Daphnia pulex: one gene and its partner. The protein of the gene in region 1 binds, or shares a complex with, the protein of each later gene. Links are inferred from orthologs where the notes say so. Each region holds a gene or a part of one and is shown on either strand. Other genes may lie near its edges. The genes, in order: H/ACA ribonucleoprotein complex subunit 4-like and H/ACA ribonucleoprotein complex subunit 2-like protein.

Evidence for each region.
Region 2: H/ACA ribonucleoprotein complex subunit 4-like (region 1) and H/ACA ribonucleoprotein complex subunit 2-like protein share a complex: the UniProt entries of both Drosophila melanogaster proteins name them as parts of the box H/ACA small nucleolar ribonucleoprotein (H/ACA snoRNP) complex. The link is inferred for Daphnia pulex from reciprocal best matches to the Drosophila melanogaster genes Nop60B and NHP2.

What each region holds. Positions count from the first base shown.
Region 1 is NC_060025.1:6,906,590-6,916,686, reverse strand, and holds H/ACA ribonucleoprotein complex subunit 4-like, read left to right. Parts: upstream 1-4,997; 5' UTR 4,998-5,073; coding exon 5,074-5,086; intron 5,087-5,282; coding exon 5,283-5,422; intron 5,423-5,692; coding exon 5,693-5,909; intron 5,910-5,965; coding exon 5,966-6,081; intron 6,082-6,275; coding exon 6,276-6,525; intron 6,526-6,585; coding exon 6,586-6,746; intron 6,747-6,810; coding exon 6,811-7,050; intron 7,051-7,116; coding exon 7,117-7,220; intron 7,221-7,280; coding exon 7,281-7,425; intron 7,426-7,484; coding exon 7,485-7,622; intron 7,623-7,688; coding exon of another isoform or gene 7,689-7,691; exon of another isoform or gene 7,692-7,794; coding exon 7,795-7,851; 3' UTR 7,852-7,920; downstream 7,921-10,097. Other genes in the region: probable sodium/potassium/calcium exchanger CG1090, read left to right, coding at 1-58, 160-414, 480-580, 656-843, 1,010-1,239, 1,308-1,610, 1,685-1,786, 1,847-1,978 and 2 more; eukaryotic translation initiation factor 4E type 2-like, read right to left, coding at 3,373-3,415, 3,504-3,640, 3,701-3,853, 3,919-4,123, 4,190-4,242, 4,370-4,445, 4,510-4,538; chromatin complexes subunit BAP18-like, read right to left, coding at 7,948-8,221, 8,289-8,390, 8,454-8,514, 8,580-8,628; heat shock protein 83-like, read left to right, coding at 9,707-9,714, 9,778-10,069. UniProt on the Drosophila melanogaster protein: Catalytic subunit of the box H/ACA small nucleolar ribonucleoprotein (H/ACA snoRNP) complex, which catalyzes pseudouridylation of rRNA. This involves the isomerization of uridine such that the ribose is subsequently attached to C5, instead of the normal N1.
Region 2 is NC_060026.1:11,292,758-11,301,456, forward strand, and holds H/ACA ribonucleoprotein complex subunit 2-like protein, read left to right. Parts: upstream 1-4,393; 5' UTR 4,394-4,526; coding exon 4,527-4,707; intron 4,708-4,768; coding exon 4,769-4,841; intron 4,842-4,907; coding exon 4,908-5,139; 3' UTR 5,140-5,218; downstream 5,219-8,699. Other genes in the region: eukaryotic peptide chain release factor subunit 1, read right to left, coding at 1,840-1,925, 1,997-2,144, 2,213-2,433, 2,508-2,637, 2,777-2,967, 3,038-3,188, 3,247-3,374, 3,437-3,612 and 1 more; exportin-7-like, read right to left, coding at 5,534-5,633, 5,702-6,092, 6,164-6,302, 6,362-6,484, 6,555-6,643, 6,722-6,851, 6,918-7,141, 7,206-7,353 and 6 more. UniProt on the Drosophila melanogaster protein: Component of the box H/ACA small nucleolar ribonucleoprotein (H/ACA snoRNP) complex, which catalyzes pseudouridylation of rRNA. This involves the isomerization of uridine such that the ribose is subsequently attached to C5, instead of the normal N1.

The DNA of each region.
Region 1 (10,097 bases):
CCTCGTTCTGGCTTCAATCCCACGACTTTTGTCGATAATGATGACCCAATCGAAAGCGGTGAGTAGCTTTACTTTACTTCCAATAGTTTCTCTTTAATTCTGTTTGGATTATTTCAAAATTACATTACTCTACTTAAATGTTTGATTAATTGAATTTAGTTGGGCTTTGGAGACGCCATTTGTTGGCAAACGAAGAAAAACGAACGTCGACTGCAACGCCAATTTTAGATCCGTTCGCCGGAATCAACTGCACTCCTCCGGCTATTGAAGAATTTCCACGGCCAGGCATCCCGCAATATGTCCGAGCCAAGGGTGGTCTCGTGGTCCACTTGCTCGTTTCCGCTTACATGTTCCTGGGTCTATCCATCGTCTGCGATGACTACTTCGTTCCTGCACTCGAAAGGATGGTGGAATGTATGTTGTAAATTTGTTTTTCTTATTTCCGACAATAATCAGCTAATGAAACCGATTTCCGGCAGCCCTGCACATGTCTCAAGATGTGGCGGGAGCTACTTTTATGGCAGCTGGTTCATCCGCTCCAGAACTTGCAACTGCAGTGATTGGTGTATTCATAGCCAAGGTAATGTCGAATGAATTTCTCGGGTTCTTTCATCAGAGTCAAATAAATGTAACTGATATATGTATTTTGTTACAGGATGACATAGGTATCAGTGGCGTGATTGGCTCTGCCGTCTTCAATATCATGTTTGTTATCAGCGTGTGCGCCCTCTTTTCCGGAGGTGTCATCTATCTGAATTGGTGGCCGCTTGTTCGTGACTGCATCGCTTATTTCGTGGCCATATTTGCTCTTCTCTTCACCATCTACAATGAAGTTGTCACATGGTAATGGAAATATTCGACATTCCAAATATCGATTTTGGAGCTTTATTGTCTTATCAAGAATGTTTTGTTACCATTTACCATTAACGTGCGCCATTAAACCTTGGCAGTCAAAAAATCTATTCGATTTTGTTTTAATGGTAACGTAATCGTTTTGGACTATCCAAAGGTACGAGTCGACCATTTTCCTGATGCTCTACGTGGCCTATTGTGTAATGATGGTCTACAACTCTCAACTGGAGCGATGGGCAAACACTTTGCCTATTCCTATTCCCGACTACGCCCGTAGACTTCCCGGTGGGGAAAACGCGTCGCTGATGCCCTACAAGAATCTTGACTCGGAGGCAGGTGGCATTAGTGGCCCCGCTGGGAAACTCTACACCGACGAAAGATCCCCTGGTAATGCCTCACACATCCAGGAAACTTTGTTCCGATTTTAACATTTTTCTTTGGAAATACTTCAATAGATTCTGTGAAATCTTCGATTGACGGAAATGTTGGTCCCTGTGACGCTGGAGGCACTTCCGGCCCTTCGATCAGCAAGATTAAAGAGGAGGAGGCAGAGCGATTTTCGCCGTGGGTACCACCAGTAGAATTTCTAGACCGGATCACGTGGGCCATCTGCCTGCCGTTGCGTGCTGCTGCTTACTACACGATGCCCAACTGCCGTTTAGAGAAATGGGGCAGTTGGTTCCTTGTTTCTTTTTTCATCAGCATGCTCTGGATTTCCATCTTTTCCTACGTCATGGTCTGGATGATCACTATTATTGGTTAGTAATATTTACTCATTCGAATATGTTTGTATTTATTAGACGGTACATTATTTTACTAAATTTGTGATCAGGTTTCACTATGGGAATTCCGGATACTGTGATGGGATTGACGTTTGTGGCTGCTGGTGTCAGTATTCCCGACATTCTAACCAGTTTGGCTGTTGCCAGAGAAGGTGAAAATGACTGAATAAAAGGAAAATTTGATACAAATAGTAATCATTCGTTCTCTTTAGGTTACGGTGACATGGCTACATCCAACGCCATCGGCAGCAATGTATTCGATATTCTCATTTGTCTGGGGCTACCTTGGTTTCTTCAAACGGCCGTCGTTGATCCGGGAAGTGTAGTTCGAGTCATCAGCAAAGGTACTGTACCACCGACACTTTCACCATTGCTCACGTTTACGGAACCATGAAGTATTATTCTGTTAAAAATGCAGGATTAACATATTCAACCCTATCATTGCTGTCAACCATTGTTTTCTTGTTGGGCGCCACTCATCTGAATGGCTGGAAGCTGGATCGCAAATACGGAGTTGCTCTTCTGGGGTGGTATTTGTTCTTCATGATCATCGCTTCTAGTACGTTTAAATTAGGTTTTATTCTAACTAACGCTGAATTTTGTATTAACCTATTCATAAATTTTACTCTAGTGTACGAGATGAACATCTTTGGCTACTTTAACCCGCCGGAATGTGACAGCGAATTTTGAGAAATGAAGCGCATCTATTCTAGGTGACCATCTTACACCAACAAATATCATCTTCTTGGCAACTCCAGTCATGCAGTATTTATAGGGAATCAATTCATGGTAACCTGGATTCAACAGGGAATGAAGCTGATATACAATCCGCACTATCTAGCTTACAAGCTGTTTCCCGGAGCTTGAACGGGCTCCGCAGCTCTCGGCCGCACATATATGGTCCTTGGTAGAGCTCAAAATTTTTATTCTACTAATCTATACAGATACAACTGCAACGATGTTTACATTCACAATAATATAAAATTATAGTTCATTTATTGTGTGGTTTAAAATTTTGTTTATTATTTTGCGATGGTCCGCCATCGTCCTTTTGTTTGTTTACATTTGATTCGTATTTCGGTGTCTCGACGTGTGCCAATTTGTTGATGTTAAATAAGTAAGGTTGCTTTCCATTTTCCTCTTTTGTTAATTTCAGTATTATATTTCGCAATCTATTTCACCGTGAAACCTTGTTTATCGTAAATCACTACTTACAATTCCGAATCGAAGTATCACCAGCAAAATTTTGACGTTCGTCGAGCGGTGAGCTACAATGGATGTTGATTTTTGATTTCCACTTTTCTCATTTAATATAACCGTTCATCACCCTATTCCACATACATTACGCATGTTTCTCACCTGAAAAATCTAGCGCATTTCTTAATTCTAGGCTGAATGTACTACTCCGTGTTAGTAGCATCTCAAGCTAATAAATCAACCGTCTGTCAAATGTGTGGTTTTGAGGAAAAATCAATTAACAACAAATAGTTTCACCACAAGCTCCCATGCTTTACAGTGTAAAGCTAATAAGTAATCATTACAACATTTGACGCTTAAGTTGGTTCTTCCATAAAAGTATTGAATAAACTCGTATTTAGAGATTATTCAACGAAGAATGTTAGACACATTTGAATCAAACTTTTATAAAGCTAGAAATAACAGTATCGGTAATGAACACCGTGACCAGGTCAACTTTCAACTTATTTATATTCCGCTTGAGATGTAAAATATTGTGTCTTTATCGGACAAAGACATCGGTATTCCGAAAACTGGAATTGTCCCTGGAGATTTGAAGGGAGAAGAGGTAGAGGAAAGAAAGAGAAAAAGATTATGAATTCTCATTTGAATGGCGAGACCACCATTCCGTACTTTAGAGAATCCGTGTGGTTTTTGTATTCAAGTATTGTGTTCGGTGGAAGGTTTAAGACTCGACGAAGTGTATCTCGAATTCGGTTGGTAGTAGCCTGATCACTTGCAATTCGATTCCATACCGAAATAATATCCTCCTAAAATATATATATTTATATAAATTATATGATTTTTAACACAAAAAACATTTTTCTTACAGCAAATCGAATTGAGACGACAGCTCCACATATTTCGTCGCCTACCATAAATTGTTCGCCTAACATAGCTAATATTAAGTTCTCCCAACAACGTGAGGCTAAACCTTTTCGAAGACGCACAATCCATTTACCACCACAACGATTGGCATCATCCTGTTGGGAAAAAAAAGTAGGTTAATAAACACTTCACCACCCTTATTATTATTTAATAATACAACCTCCCACATTGGTTTGATTCCATCTTTAAATAAATGAAAGTCACTGTGACCAGAGAGTTCACAAGGCCTGACCAGATGGCAATAGTATGACCAAAACTGTTCTACAGAAGCAAAACGTCCAACCATTCTTAGATTCTGATCAAAGCTTTGGGGTGCTGCATGTTTTCCAGGAGCTCTCCGACTAAACCACAAACAGTATGTGTATCTAAAAACAAATGGTATTTCTATAATTAACATGTACTAATAAAAGTAATATCATTTTCATGTGTACTGGAGTGGATGTTCTTCTCGAGGAACTTGAATGGGTTGCTGAAAAAAATTAACCTTTAAATTAGTAGGAAAAAATGGGTAAGTGAGCACATAAATTCGTCTATCGCAATTATCACATCATTAACATAGAGTTAATAGATATTACAATAATTTTTTGTGTATTATGCAGTTAATATCTCACCAAAATTAAATCCTTTTTCTTTCTTTCTTCACTGAATGAAGTTTCGTCGTCATCACTGTCTTCGCTGTTGTTCAACCTGTCGAAAAGCAACAAAGTAAACGCAAATTCTATTAAAACATGTATAAAATTTGAAAACTTACGCATCAAATTTATTGTTATTAAGGGCCATTTGTAAATAGTTTACGAAATCGGAGTGTTACAGTCAAATTGTTCACTTAATTTATACACCAATTTGCAGCATGTAGTAGAAAGACTAAAGAAAGAAACAAGCAGTATGTCCAGAAATGTTGTACAAATTTTAGATGGTGAAAACACTAAACAGTACCCACACTATAGAGTAGCGAAAAATTGCCACCAGTTGCCACCAGGTGACCTTCAAGAGGTTTTGGCGCCACACACTAGAGTACCCTTCCCAAAGCCAAAGCGCCACGGCCCACGGGAGAAAGATGTTATAGTTATTGTAACTTCTAATGTAATGGTAATAAAGAGATAATTTGAACCATTGAATTTTAAAATCAAGTAAAATATTGGAAATACATGTCATAGCAGAAAAAGTGACTTCGTGATTAATTTTTTTCCAAAAATAAGAATCAAAAATCAAATGGCAACGCTCAACACTTCCGCTCATTGGTTTCTTTTTTTGTAGCAGAGGTTTTTCAACACATTAGATCAAAGACAGGACTTCGAACCACGTGTGAAGCACGATGCATTCATCTGGTAAGCGCCATCACATAATATAAATTTTACAAGCTAGTTATAGGGATCGATTATGTGTTTTCACATGGAAAAGATGCATTGTAGTTTGCTGCACAAATAGTATGATTCGAAATTTACATTAATTTGGTTAATTCTGTGATCTACGGATTAATGTTGGTAACACGTGTCGGTTAATGTTAGCATTCCTGTGTTTCAGAAGTCCTAGGAGAGAAACAAAGTGGAAAGAAGTCAAGAAAGTCCTTGGGAGATATTCAAGGAGATTCAGACTTTGTGTTGGAGCCATCAGAAAAACCAGTAGCAAAATTGGACTGTTCACAATGGCCGCTGTTACTAAAGGTATGTTGTTAAATATTAAATTAAATGTAGATGTTCTCAAAATAATTTATTTTAGTATCTATCTATACAAGCATTATGCTAAGAATGCTAATGATTAATTTATCGAAAGTAGTGGACTGAAAAGACTGAAGACACTCAAAGATAATGAAGCATTTAAAACTAAATTCTTAAAATTTTTCTAGTTTGAAACTTGATCTTTATAGATATTAATTTTTCCCTTGTTATTTATTAAGAAATGTGAACATTTTCTAAATCATCTTTTTTTTTCAGAATTTTGACAAGTTAAACACAAGGACAAATCATTATACACCTCTTCCAAGTGGTTGTTCACCATTGAAGAGGCCAATTAAAGATTATATTCATGGCGGTTTTATTAATCTTGACAAGCCATCTAACCCAAGCTCTCACGAAGTAGTTGCCTGGATTAAGAGGATTCTAAGATGTGAAAAGACGGGTCATTCAGGAACATTGGACCCTAAAGTTACAGGTATGTTGATAGCACTCAGAAAATCCCATGGACTTTACTAATTGAATATTATACAGGGTGTTTGATTGTTTGCATTGATCGTGCTACAAGGCTGGTCAAATCTCAGCAGGGAGCTGGCAAAGAGTATGTTGCCATATTTAAGCTTCATTCTGCAGTTGAAGATAACAATCAGGTAGTTTCTTGACCCTTCTAGTTGAAAGCCTTATGCTAAAGATGCTAATGATTAATTTATCGAAAGTAGTGGACTGAAATGACTGAAGATAATTAAAGATAATGAAGCATTTAACTGAATTCTGTTAATTTTTTAAGTTAGAAACTTGATCTTTATAAATACTAATTTTGTATATATTTTTTTTATTTATTAAGATTCCTCGAGCTCTTGAGAAGTTGACTGGAGCTTTGTTTCAGCGTCCACCACTGATCTCGGCTGTTAAGCGACAACTTCGTGTGCGAACCATTTACGAGAGTAAATTTTACGAGTACGATGCCGAGAGACAAATGGGTATCTATTGGGTTAGCTGTGAAGCCGGAACTTACGTTCGTACCCACTGTGTCCATCTCGGTTTGGTGCTAGGCGTAGGAGCTCAGATGGCGGAACTCAGAAGAGTTCGTTCTGGTAAGCCAGGAAGTTTCTTTTTGTGTGTGTTCTTAAGATGAAGATTTTATTTTTTATAAGGTATCCAAAGTGAAAAAGAAGGGTTAATGACTATGCACGATGTAATCGATGCGCAGTGGTTACATGATAATCATAAGGACGAAACATATCTGCGGCGGGTTATTCGTCCATTAGAGGCATTGATGATGTCTCACAAGCGAATAATCATGAAAGACAGTGCTGTAAGTGTGTTAATATTTATCTATAATATTCTTTATAATAATGTGTTAAAAAAATATATAACAGGTTAATGCCGTTTGCTATGGAGCTAAAATCATGTTGCCTGGTGTATTGCGGTACGAAAATGGTATCGAACTAAATGAAGAGATTGTTATAGTAACAACCAAAGGAGAAGCAGTGGCTCTCGCCATTGCTTTGATGACGACAACAACCATGGCTTCATGTGACCATGGTATTGTTGCCAAAATTAAACGTGTTGTCATGGAGCGTGACACTTATCCCAGGAAATGGGGACTTGGACCTAAAGTAAAAATTGATATAGTTTACATTGGCGTTACTTGTATGTATATGTATGTATTTGTTTAATTTTAGGCTTCCGTCAAGAAGGGTATGGTGAAACAGGGACTCTTGGATAAGTTTGGCAAACCTAATGACAAGACACCTAAAGATTGGTTGACATCTTATGTAGACCTAAAGTATGTAATTCAACGCAGTATTTGTATCAAATTTTTCAATAATATTATATTTTTCTGTAGCGTTAAAAAAGAAAAGGTTGAACCAACTGAAGATGCTGAGGCACGAAAAAGAAAGTTAAGTGAAACGAGCGCCGTTGCTGATCCGTTGTCAGAATCCATGACGGAAACCAAGGAGAAGAAGAAGAAGAAAAAGGACAAAGACCGGGTAAGTGTTTATACTCTTGTGAAATAATGATGTCTTAATCATTTATGGATGATTTTCAGGAGCCGCAGGGTAATGAAAGCATTCTTGATGCCACCGTAGAATCGGTTCCTGAAACCAAAGAGAAGAAAAAGAAGAAGAAAGATAAAACAGCTGAAAATGAAGACCTTTCAATTGCAGTGGACACATCAACAATCAAGGTAAATTAAACTTGTCAATTAATTTTTTTTTTAAACAAAGGTGTCGTGATTATTTAATGAAAGTAGTGAACGGAATATTTCTGACGAAAATTACCTAAATGAAAACATACTGCAAATATTATTCGCCGAGTAATTTGGTATGCATTAGTAATGTGAACATATTTCTATTTAGGAGGAGTCTGCCAAGAAAAAAAAGAAAAAGAAAGATGTCGATCGGGAAGATGATTAATTATAATTGAAATAATTTGTAATATTATGTTTGCAAGAAAATTCGAAAATACAATTCATTTCATTTTTATGCTGTGTATTAATTTATCAGAAAGTTTCAAGATGTGACAACTTCATTTGCTCCTTCAAAATTTAACCCTTCAACATCAACTTCATTTTCAGAGGCATTTAACATGTTCAATGTCACTTCAGCTGTTGACTTGTTATTAATCATTTGGGGCTGTTGTTGAACAACTACAACTGCTTGCTGAGGACTTGAATTAATATTCTGGAGTGGACTTGGTTGAACAACTGGTTGGCTGATGACTTTGGACAAAGGAATACCTGCTGCCTCAAAAGTTTTTTTCTTCAAACTACCATGAATTTGTGTCCTAATAAATAGAAGCAAATAAAATTTGAAATTTGAACACTGACATATGATTTTTGCAATCAACTTACACTGTCTTGTCTTTAATATGTTCAGAAATCTTTTCAAGATCTTCTCCAAAGCGCTTAATGGAACTTCTCAACATTTCAATTTCATCTTCACTCCATTTTGACCTGTATAAGAAAAAATTAAAAATACAACAGTGTTACAAAAGTAAATTACTTTAAATTATTTACCCAGCATTGGCATTTTCTGAGGAATGTAGCTGCATGGTCAATTTCCCCAACGTACTGAAAGCTAAGAAAAATAATGGCTGAAATCACTCATTCAACAATTACCTACATACACCATGTGTATTTTACCTAATCCTGCAGCTCCAAATATATCGGCAACCTTATTAGCAGAGTTCATTCTTGTGCACTTTTACAAACAACTAACCCAGAAAATTCACCACAAAGTCAATTATTTGGTATAAAAAAACATAATTTCCCGTAGGGATTCTAGTCACAGTCGAAGGAGGCTCAGTTTTGACACGCCACCGCTGCAATTCAAACTGCAAAATTCAATTGCAGTAATTAGACACTTAAATTTACGTAATTGTGACAACAATCACGCAAATTTTTGTAGGCATTTGATTAAACAAAGAAATCTCTTTAAAATGGATCACATTTTACGAAGATATAATAGATTTATTTTTTAAAACAGCGATTCTAAGTCAAACGGGGCTCAGTTTCGAAACGCCACCGCTGCAATTCAAACTGCAAAATTCAAAACGCCACTAAACATTAACACAAAATTTACGTAAATGTCTTACAAATCACGAAAATTTTTGTATGAAAGAGATTAAACAAAGAAAGGTCTTCAAAATGGATCACATGAAGATATACTAATAGCTGTATTTTTTACACAGCGATTCAAAGTCGAACGGGCTCACTTTCCCGGCTTGATGTGTGTCAACCCAAAAGCTATAGTTTGCAGGCCTAACAAGAAGCGAATTTGGTGGCAATTTTTACGACTGCCCGGCGGCCTTGTATACATGTAGATCCCCACCAAACGTGAACAGAAAAGCGTCCGGTTTGTTTGTTTACGTTTTAAAGCAAAGTAAGTTTTACTACTGTACTGGTTTAGACAAACAAATTGGTTATTTACACATTTTTTGATATGCCTCAAGTCCATAGATATATGTAGAATTTCTATTTTTGAGTGTGATCTACCACAATTGACAAACATTTCTTACTGAAATATTTTCCTTTTCCTTTTTAGATGCCTGGAGAAGTTCAAATGGAAGACGAAGCTGAGACTTTCACATCCCAGGCCAAGATTGCTCAGCTTATGAGCTTGATTATCAACACCTTCTATAGTCGATCTCCAACTCCTCAAATGCCCTAGTCAAGATCCGTTATGAATCCCTGACTGACCCAAGCAAGTTGGACAGCGGTAAGGACCTTAAAATCAAGATTGTCCCCAACAAGAATGCTGACTCACTCTCATGGATACGTAAGTTGAGAAATTTAGTTCCTCCTATTTGAACACGAATTTGACTGTTCTGTTTCTCTTTAGTGGTATCGGCATGATCAAGGCTGATTTGGTTAACAACTTGGGTACTATTGCCAAGTCTGGAACTAAAGCTTTCATGGAAGCCCTCTCTGCCGGAGCTGACATCTCCATGATTGGTCAGTTTAGTGTGGGTTCCTACTCTGCTTACCTGGTTGCCGACAAGGTGACAGTTCATTCCAAGCACAATGATGATGAGCAGTATGTTTGGGAATCGTCAGCTGGTGGTTCTTTCACCATCAAGCCTGATCACAGAGAACCCATGGGTAGAGGAACCAAGATTATCCTCCACTTGAAGGTATGTTCTTTGTCTTCATTGGCATAAT
Region 2 (8,699 bases), on another chromosome or scaffold:
GGGAATATAAGCGTGTATGTGTAGTTTGTTTCTCCGTTCAAAATGAATCAAGTCGTATATGAACCCATTTTCTTCTTGTTTATTGCGATCCCTTTAGTGCCGTCAAGTTATTCCAGCAGCAGCGCCCGATCGATTTTTTCTTCTACCCACCCGGATTCTATGACTATAGTGGTGTGTGTGGCGGGTAATCAAATATTTGTTGGAGATTCCCTTGATGTTGTTCGCTTGTCGCTTTGCACTTTGTTTTGTGATGCCCAGCAGCTCGCACCTCCGACGGAAAGAGATGGGAGGCCATAAACGAGTGAAAAAACGTAACAAAAATAATAACGTCAGCCGCCGCCGCCATTGTTAACAGTTAAATTTGGGGCTCATTTCTTCGGCGAATGCAGTTTAAATCTTTTCTGATGCCCTGAAATAATCCGGACGGCAAACGTGAATAACAGTTCAAATGAGTTTTTAATGGACTTGACATCAACTGATTTGCATATTTTGAATACTCGTGGAAATAATAAGCTTAATATACACGGCGCCGAGCGGCGCATCAGCGACGGACGAAAATAAGGGCGAAAATTTCATGCCCCAAATACGATTTTGTTTTGTTTTTGTATTCAAACGTCCCTGATTACCAATTTTCTTTTCTTTTTCCAGGCGCGTGAGCTCCGTCCTAACGTTTCATATCTCTCGCCAATGCCACGAAATTGGAAGTTACAGTCTAATTGAGTAAACATGACCAAGAAACTTTCATTTGGTATTTTTTTCTTCTGGAAAAAGAGAAAGTTGGACACATAATTTTCTTATAGGCAAATGTGGGTTTTACTAGAAATTCATCAAGGCCTACCGACACCGATCTGTTTTTCATTTTTCTTCTTCCCAAATTTGTGTGTTCCCAAAAAGTGTCGTTCACTTAACAAAAGAAAAGAAGAAATTATTAAGTCATTTACCTCAAAACTTTCTAAGCTGCCAACCAGAGAGCGGGTCCATTTTCTTCTGCCCAGCCACCACCTCATCACGACAATAAATAAATTTGATAAGTTCAAAACTTCCGTTCGAAATGAAGGTACTGGAAAAAAAAAAAATTTTAAACCAGGACAATCAAATTCCAACTCAAACCAACACCACGTGTCGGCAAGTGTGTATTTCACGGAGGTAAATCTTTCGACAAAACTCGTGTTCCACAAACTCAAAACGACAGAATGACAAAAAAAAAGTATGAACAATGTTCAGTGAAGAAGATTTTGTTTGTTTGTTTTTCTTGAAAGGAATAGTTAAAAAATACGCAAGTGTTGATGCAGCAAAAGAAAACTATGGATGGAGAATTGAAACACGAGCGTCCCCCCATTAATTTTTCATTTTTGTTTTATCGAAGTGACTTGTTTCAGATTCTAGGTAGGAAAACCCAGACGTCACTCGACGAGGAACGATGAAAGACGATCCCCGCTTGTGTTTGTGTGTGAATAAACCAGCAAACATAAATTCATTTCATATAAAGTTCTTGAAATTGCGGTAGTCAATTCATATTTCCCTACCGAGAAAAAAAAATTTCAAAAAAAATATGACAATCGCATAATTTCACCTAAGATTTCCCCTCCAGTCCAATGTAAAAATAGAAAAGAAAAAAAATAGAAGAGGAATTGATGCACTCTTGATGATTTCTTCCACATTTTTTCCCGCTCCGATTGAACAGGAAAAACAAGTTCGTTGCAGCGTTCAAGTTGGAAAGAAAAAAGTAACAGCTGAACGCAATCGACGGGTGTCATATGCAGGGAAAAAAACTTTATTTTATCCGTTGGATGCGTGATAAATGGTCCGAAACCGTTGATGATAATCCTAGAGGGTGTCTTAATAATCGTCCAAATCGTAGACTTGATCGTCCAGAGGGCCGTCGCCTTGTAAACTTTGCATATCCACCTTGTAGCGTAAAATGCCTGTTTCATTCAAAGAAAAGAATATTAATAAACAGGATCATGTAAAGGGTAGTGCAATTCAAAAGTCTGACCTCCAATGCCACCAAACCCTCTGACGAACTGGGAGCCTTCTTGGGATTTATCGGTGATGATTTCAAGCGTCGCACCAAACGATTTATAATTGTTTGCCAGCCACTCCAGTAGCGGCTGACTTTCTATCAATTCCATTTCGGTACCGCTCTAATGATAATAAAATTCCATGTTAAGACATTTTCTAAAATAATTATAAATAACAAATAGTTAATTACATCCTTGTCCGTGAAATGCGTGTTGTCTTTTTGCTGTTCGGGCGTTAAGTGCAGAACTTTGGTCGCTTCCGTACCGGGAATCTTGAGCATGTAGCGCATAATGTCCAAATTCTCCCAACAAATGAGAATTTCAACAGCGCCAAGTTCCAGTGCTTTCAGCGTATCGTCGACACCAAAGCAGTACTTGCCCGTATCCTGGCTGATTTCATCAAAGTATCGACCTACGTGAGAAGAAACATAACACCACCGTTAGGTTAACACATAAAAGGTAATTTAATCCAAAAAAACAACTAACCAATCAGCTTCTTTTCCTGGATAAACTTCACATTGGCAAGACTCTCTGCTGCAAGCTCGATTGCCTGGTTGAAGCCGTTTTCACCACCGTAAGAGATGTCGACCATCTTGATAATTTTGACTTGCAATCTCTATCAAAAGAAAGAAACCAGTTACAACTAGCGGGAATGAGAAAGGTAATACCAATCATGGAACTGAAATACGAGATTCTAGTCAGAGACCAAAGTCCAGATGATTTCGGTTTGTGAAATGTAATAACTGCTTGCTTACCGGATCGAACATATCCGATTGAGAGAGCTCCGTCTTGAAGTCAGCACTTCCTGCTAAGATGAGGCCTGCAGCCGTCACCTTATCGTTGGATATGAACATTTGAGTGGCTACCTCGGCCACTTTACGGACGTAATTGTGTCGCTTTTCCATACGTAAACGGGCGAAACGCAAGGCAGACTGACCACCACGTCCTACATAAACAGCGTCACATGAAATTATAGAATTCACAAAATAGCACCAATAATTAGAAATGATGCTTACCGTGCTTTTTGGGTAATTCGACAGTAAATTTATGTAAAACTTCTCTCGTGTTTCCTTGGAGTGTTCCAAACAACGCCCCGTTACCATCCATAATAATGAAACCAAATTTGTTATCGTCAGCTAACAATGCTGTCAAGGCTTCTGTATGGAACTGAATTCACTCATGATTTATCTTTGAAAACCTTAAAAATAACAAAAAAAAACCATACCTTGTTGTCACACAAATACAGTGATGTATTGATGGGCTTGAAAGGCTCAAAATCAATGTTCACTTTCTTCTCTTTACCCTCTTCTGTGACAATTGTTCCACAATATATGACCAAACCATTAGGGGGTACTGGCAAATCAAAGAAAATTATTAAGGTTAATCAAGAAACAAGCATAAATAACAACACATACCTTTGGCATACAGTTTTAATCTCTGTTGGACAGATGTGATGGCACCCAGGACAGAGAGCCTGTTTACTCGAGATTTAATATTGGAGGCAGTACCGAATTCATCAGCCAACATTTTGCTGATCCGAGCAATCTGATCTTTAGGAGGGATGATGAGCGAAATCATGCTTGTACCATTTCTAAAGAAGAAAGTGTTTCATTAAACTTTATTCACTTGTTGAGCAGTTGTTAAGCAACAGCTTGACATGCCCTGTCAATTACTGCCATAATTCTGAGACATGTTATCTCATGAGGCAAATTACCCTCTTGCAAGTTCCAAGCTTTTGATGAGTTTTTTGATCTTCCAGATCTCAACATTCCTATCTGCAGAGTTCTCCTCCATGACACTGGTTTAGGGGCTATAGGAAAGCAGCAAATAGATGAAACCTGAGTAAACCAATTACAGTTTAAATGAAAAGGTATAGTTTGTTAAAGTGGTCTTTATAGACGGTCGGCATGACAGAAAAATAGGAATTTGTCTATGACAGACGTGGTCACATCGAAAAACATGGCGACGACAGCTTTCTCTCAATATGAAATTCTTCATTTGCTCTTAAACAAGAAAGACAAATAGATAATTACCTCACTATAAAAAACAAGTGGGAATCTTTGTCGTGGACGAAAAAAAGGGTTTATAAAAATTACACGAGTTGCTCACGTAAAACACTTTCTCAGAACACCGCTTCACACCAGCACATGGGTCGTGGATTCCGTGATTTCGATATCGAAATAATTACAAGTAGGCTACGAAATCGATTTGATATTGGTCCACCAATTTGTCAAAATTTACCCAATTTTAAGTTTCCTATAAATTATTTGTCAATAAGAAACTATGAAAAGTATTATTATCGGCAGCATTTTTTAGTTTTTTATTATAAATGTCAAGGTTTCAGTTTACAAGTTGATGCTACGAGCTATTGGCAACGTCTAAATCCAGACGACGCGAAAGTCAAGAGCTAGGCAAAAAAATCGACGAGCTTGAAAACCACACGTGCTCATACTACCGTAGCTACTGCATTTAAGTTAACAGTTTAAATTTAAAACAAAAAGAAAAATGGCCAAGAAATCAAAGCAGGTTATCAAGGAAGAAGAAACCGATGCCATGGAAACATCACAGGTCGAGGGAAAATCAGACAAGAGTAGCTATGATGAGTTGATGAATCATGTCAGCATCATTGCTAAACCAATGGCTAGCAGGAAGCTCACTAAACGGATCTATAAACTTCTTAAGAAAGGTTAGTTAATTTTTTGGTTATATTTTCATTCAGTAAGTTCAAATATGTTTCTTGCTTCTAGCTGCCCCACACAAGGGATATGTGAGAAACGGCCTCAAGGATGTACAGAGAAGAATTCGACTAGGTGAAAAAGGGTAAATACAAAAAACAAAATCTTGTGATATTCTTAATGTGTTAACAAATTATTTTTCTTTTTTCAGGTTGGTCATTTTTGCTGGTGATGTTACTCCTGTAGATATTATGTGCCACATGCCTGCAGTGTGTGAAGAAAAGAATATTCCTTACATCTACACTCCATCAAGACTTGAACTTGGTCATTCTCTGGGACTGAAGCGAACATCTTTGATGGTGCTTATCAAAGAACATCCTGACTATCAAACTTCTTTTGATGAACTTGCTGCTGAACTTAAAACCATCCCTCCTCAATGTTAATGAATTCCTCTTTCATCCAAGCTCCTTCATCAGTCATACTAATTTGACATTGAAAATGATTACACTTTTTCAGAATTTGGATGCTTTTTTTTCAGAATTCACATTTTTACTCCATACATCACTGTCGACTCATTTCCTCATCTTGGTTACACAGAAAGTAAAGCAAAAAAAAAGTGACTTGGGTGGATGTGATACAAAATTAGCCTTGTTGCAAGCAAAAAACAACAAAAAGGTGGAGCATACGAAAGTGGGTTCAATACTTTCATGCAACACTGATACGCCTGTGAAACATTCCATGATGATAACTTGGTGTGGACTCTTCACTAATTGATGAAAAAGATAATAAACGAACGTCATCCGCGAAGGAACAAGAAGTTCGATTGAATGAGGTTTGCTAAGTCATCATGTCGTTGTTGGATATCAATGGGTTATTCACTGGTCCTTTCAACGATTCGTTAACATCTCGCCGGAAGAGTGATAGGTTTTGCGTAAATCTGAAATTTGTTGAATGAAGAAATATAGAATAATAACTTTTAAAAGGAAACAAAATTTACAAGTTTACCTGTCTCGGTTTTTGGCGGTGACATTCCTCTCGATTCCGTCCATCAAGTTGTCGAACCACTGAGCCATAAGGCTCTGCTTGTCGACTGGCTGACTGCGAATGATGGATTGACGCAATTGGCCAAAATAGTCTTCGTTCAACAAAATGAGGCCAAGCAAAGGACGGGACATGGAATACTGATTTCGGCATTCTTCAAACATAACGATGTTCAAGATACAACTCAGCATCTGTTGCAGTAGTTCTGGTCGGATTTCCATCAAACGAATGAGTTGCGCACCCTGCTGCTGTTCTACAACCTTTCGAGCCTTTTTGCCTTTAGCCGTCAACTGGCGAAAGACGTAGGTTACGATATGATCTAGCGTATTGCAGCAGCCCGTGCAGATCATGGTATCTATTGGTGGAATTTTCTCGTTACATTGAGTTCGATTACCATTCATTAAAATATTTACTGTTCAAATATACCTAGTGCAGTGAGGCCTTCTTGGACAGTCGAGAGAATGTATAGGAAAACATGCGGCTCTAACGAGCTGAGAAACACCATGTGATCTTGAGCAAGACACTCCAACAACACATAGTAGGTCTGACTCAACTTTGGATAAGCCTATTTACAGAAGTAATATTTAGATACTGTAATGTTAAACCAATAGGGACTTTACTTACTAAGAGATCACTTTGTGGTATAGACATGAGCATTTTGACGAAAGTGCCAAGAGCGTCGTCTAGGGCAGTATCGCCATAGAGACGGAAGACTCCGAAGTTAACATATCCGCCACACAAAGCTGCCTGTAATGCAGGTTTACATACGTTAGAAAAAAAAAGTTTCTTTTGAGAGACAGAATAAATTATTGTTCACCTTAAGCAGAGAAAAACACACTGAGATGCCTTTAAATTTTGCAGCGTAAATTTGTTCTTTGGGCACTTCAACACTCAAAATTCGACCACCTAAATGAAGGAATGAAACCGCAATTAATTTAGCTCGATCATAATCCCCCCCCCCCAAAAAAAAAAAAAATGTTATACCGTATGAGCAGAGAACTTTTGAGGCCTCACGGAATAGTAGGACACCGTTCGGGGAAGTGGAATCAAATTGCAACCGTTGACTCCGATTTTGCACCAACTCGGCAAAAAGCTTCAGCAATGGACTTGTCACCTGTTCGGATTTGCAAAATTTACAGAATTAGATAATGAATCAAAAAGCAACTTTGCAATTTTCTACCTGTGGCTGATGGTACCACAGCTGCAATGCTCTGAGATACACAGCCGCATAATCAGGATATAACCAATCAAAGAGCATCATGTAAGATTGCTTGGTATTAAAGGCGAATGCCAGGCCTCGCAGATCTCTAGCCAATCCAATAACACATTTTTGCGCCTCCTCGACTTGACTAAACATGGGGGAGTCCGCCTGTGTCAATAGAGCTCCTAGGGAATCAAATGCACCTATAGGAAAACGAGTTAAATTTAAAGAAAATGCACAGATTGTATATTAATGAATAAATATTACTGGCTAACGGTAACATGAACTGCTCAAAACGATCTTCGTCTTCACCCAAATCCACCAATAATAAGCGGCCCATCGATGTATAAAATGTTGTTCGACACTTCATTTCGCTAACGTCAACGTTTGGACCCAGGAATGGAAAATGTTCACTCTGCAAAAAGAAGAGCAATAGTAAGCGAAAGAAGTTAACCGGAAAGGATAACTTGTACTACCGTGTGGTTTTGTAAAATGAACTGGATCTCTTCAAGTTTAACCAGCTTACGTACACTGCTGTAACCAACGCATAGTTCATTAAGAAGCAAGAGAGTTTTGGCTACTATAGGTTCCCGATGACTCCAATATTTCAAATTCGTAATAATCTTTCGCACAAACACACTCAAGACCATAGACTCGTCGCGAAGACCTAATACATCGGAAAGCCCTCTATAGACTTTTGACGTCATCTGTACCTAGGACAAAGTAATTAAAAATAAAATTTTATGCTCATTATTTTTTGTTTTTCTTCCGACAGCAGGATTACTTGATCGCCAACGTAAATCTTGCGGAACTGTTCAAAGAAGGAAAGCATAGCTAATTCCAATTTTTCACATCCACCAGTAACTTGCAATCGACTATCGGTCAAGTTCATCAACTGTAAAACGCTGCAATACAAAATTTGATGTAAATCAAGACAAAAGTCTTAAGTCTGAAAACAAAATCAACAAACCGGCAAACTAATTCTCCATCCATCGAATCATGTTCATCACTCGAAGTGAAGGACACGCGACCGCCAATGGCAGCACCGATTATGTAAACTAGCCACGTTAATCGACCTACACAAAAAAGCGTGTGTTATTCAGACAATATCTCAATTAAACTGAAAATTCTTGAATCCTAACAAACCTTCCTGTATGGCCAAATCCACAGTAGTCGCAATAGGGGACCTGACAAGTTCTTGGAATGACTGCGCGGATTGTTCGAAGAGGCTAATGAGCAAAGAGCATGTCTTGGCATAATCCATTCGCATAATGACACTTATTTGTTCAAGCTGCTGTTGCACGAGACCCATATCATCGAGTGGATCTTCTAGACCTTCCCTCATAACCATGGCAACTGCTTCAAGTCGCGACTGAACATACGCTGAGGTCACTTCAGGCGTGTAGGTCTCAAGGTAATGCGGTTCGGTTGCTATTCAAGGGAAAACGTCCATCAATTTATTCAAATTTCAATTCAAATTTAATGTTACCTTTTACGTATGGTACTGAAGCAACCATTCGTTGCCAAAGTGACAGCAAATAATGTACTGAATTGGGTGCAAATTGCCACATCTAGATCAGAGAGAAATCGTCGCTTAAAATTTACGTGTAATAAATTTAAAGAAACACACGAACCTGTAAACTTTCCACCGTGAATTTTGCTATTAGCTGAATTACATCCCTATAGTGATCAACCATGACTAATTCTCCAAGTTGATAGTTAGTCTTAAGTCGGGCTAACAGACGACAGAATTCATGATAA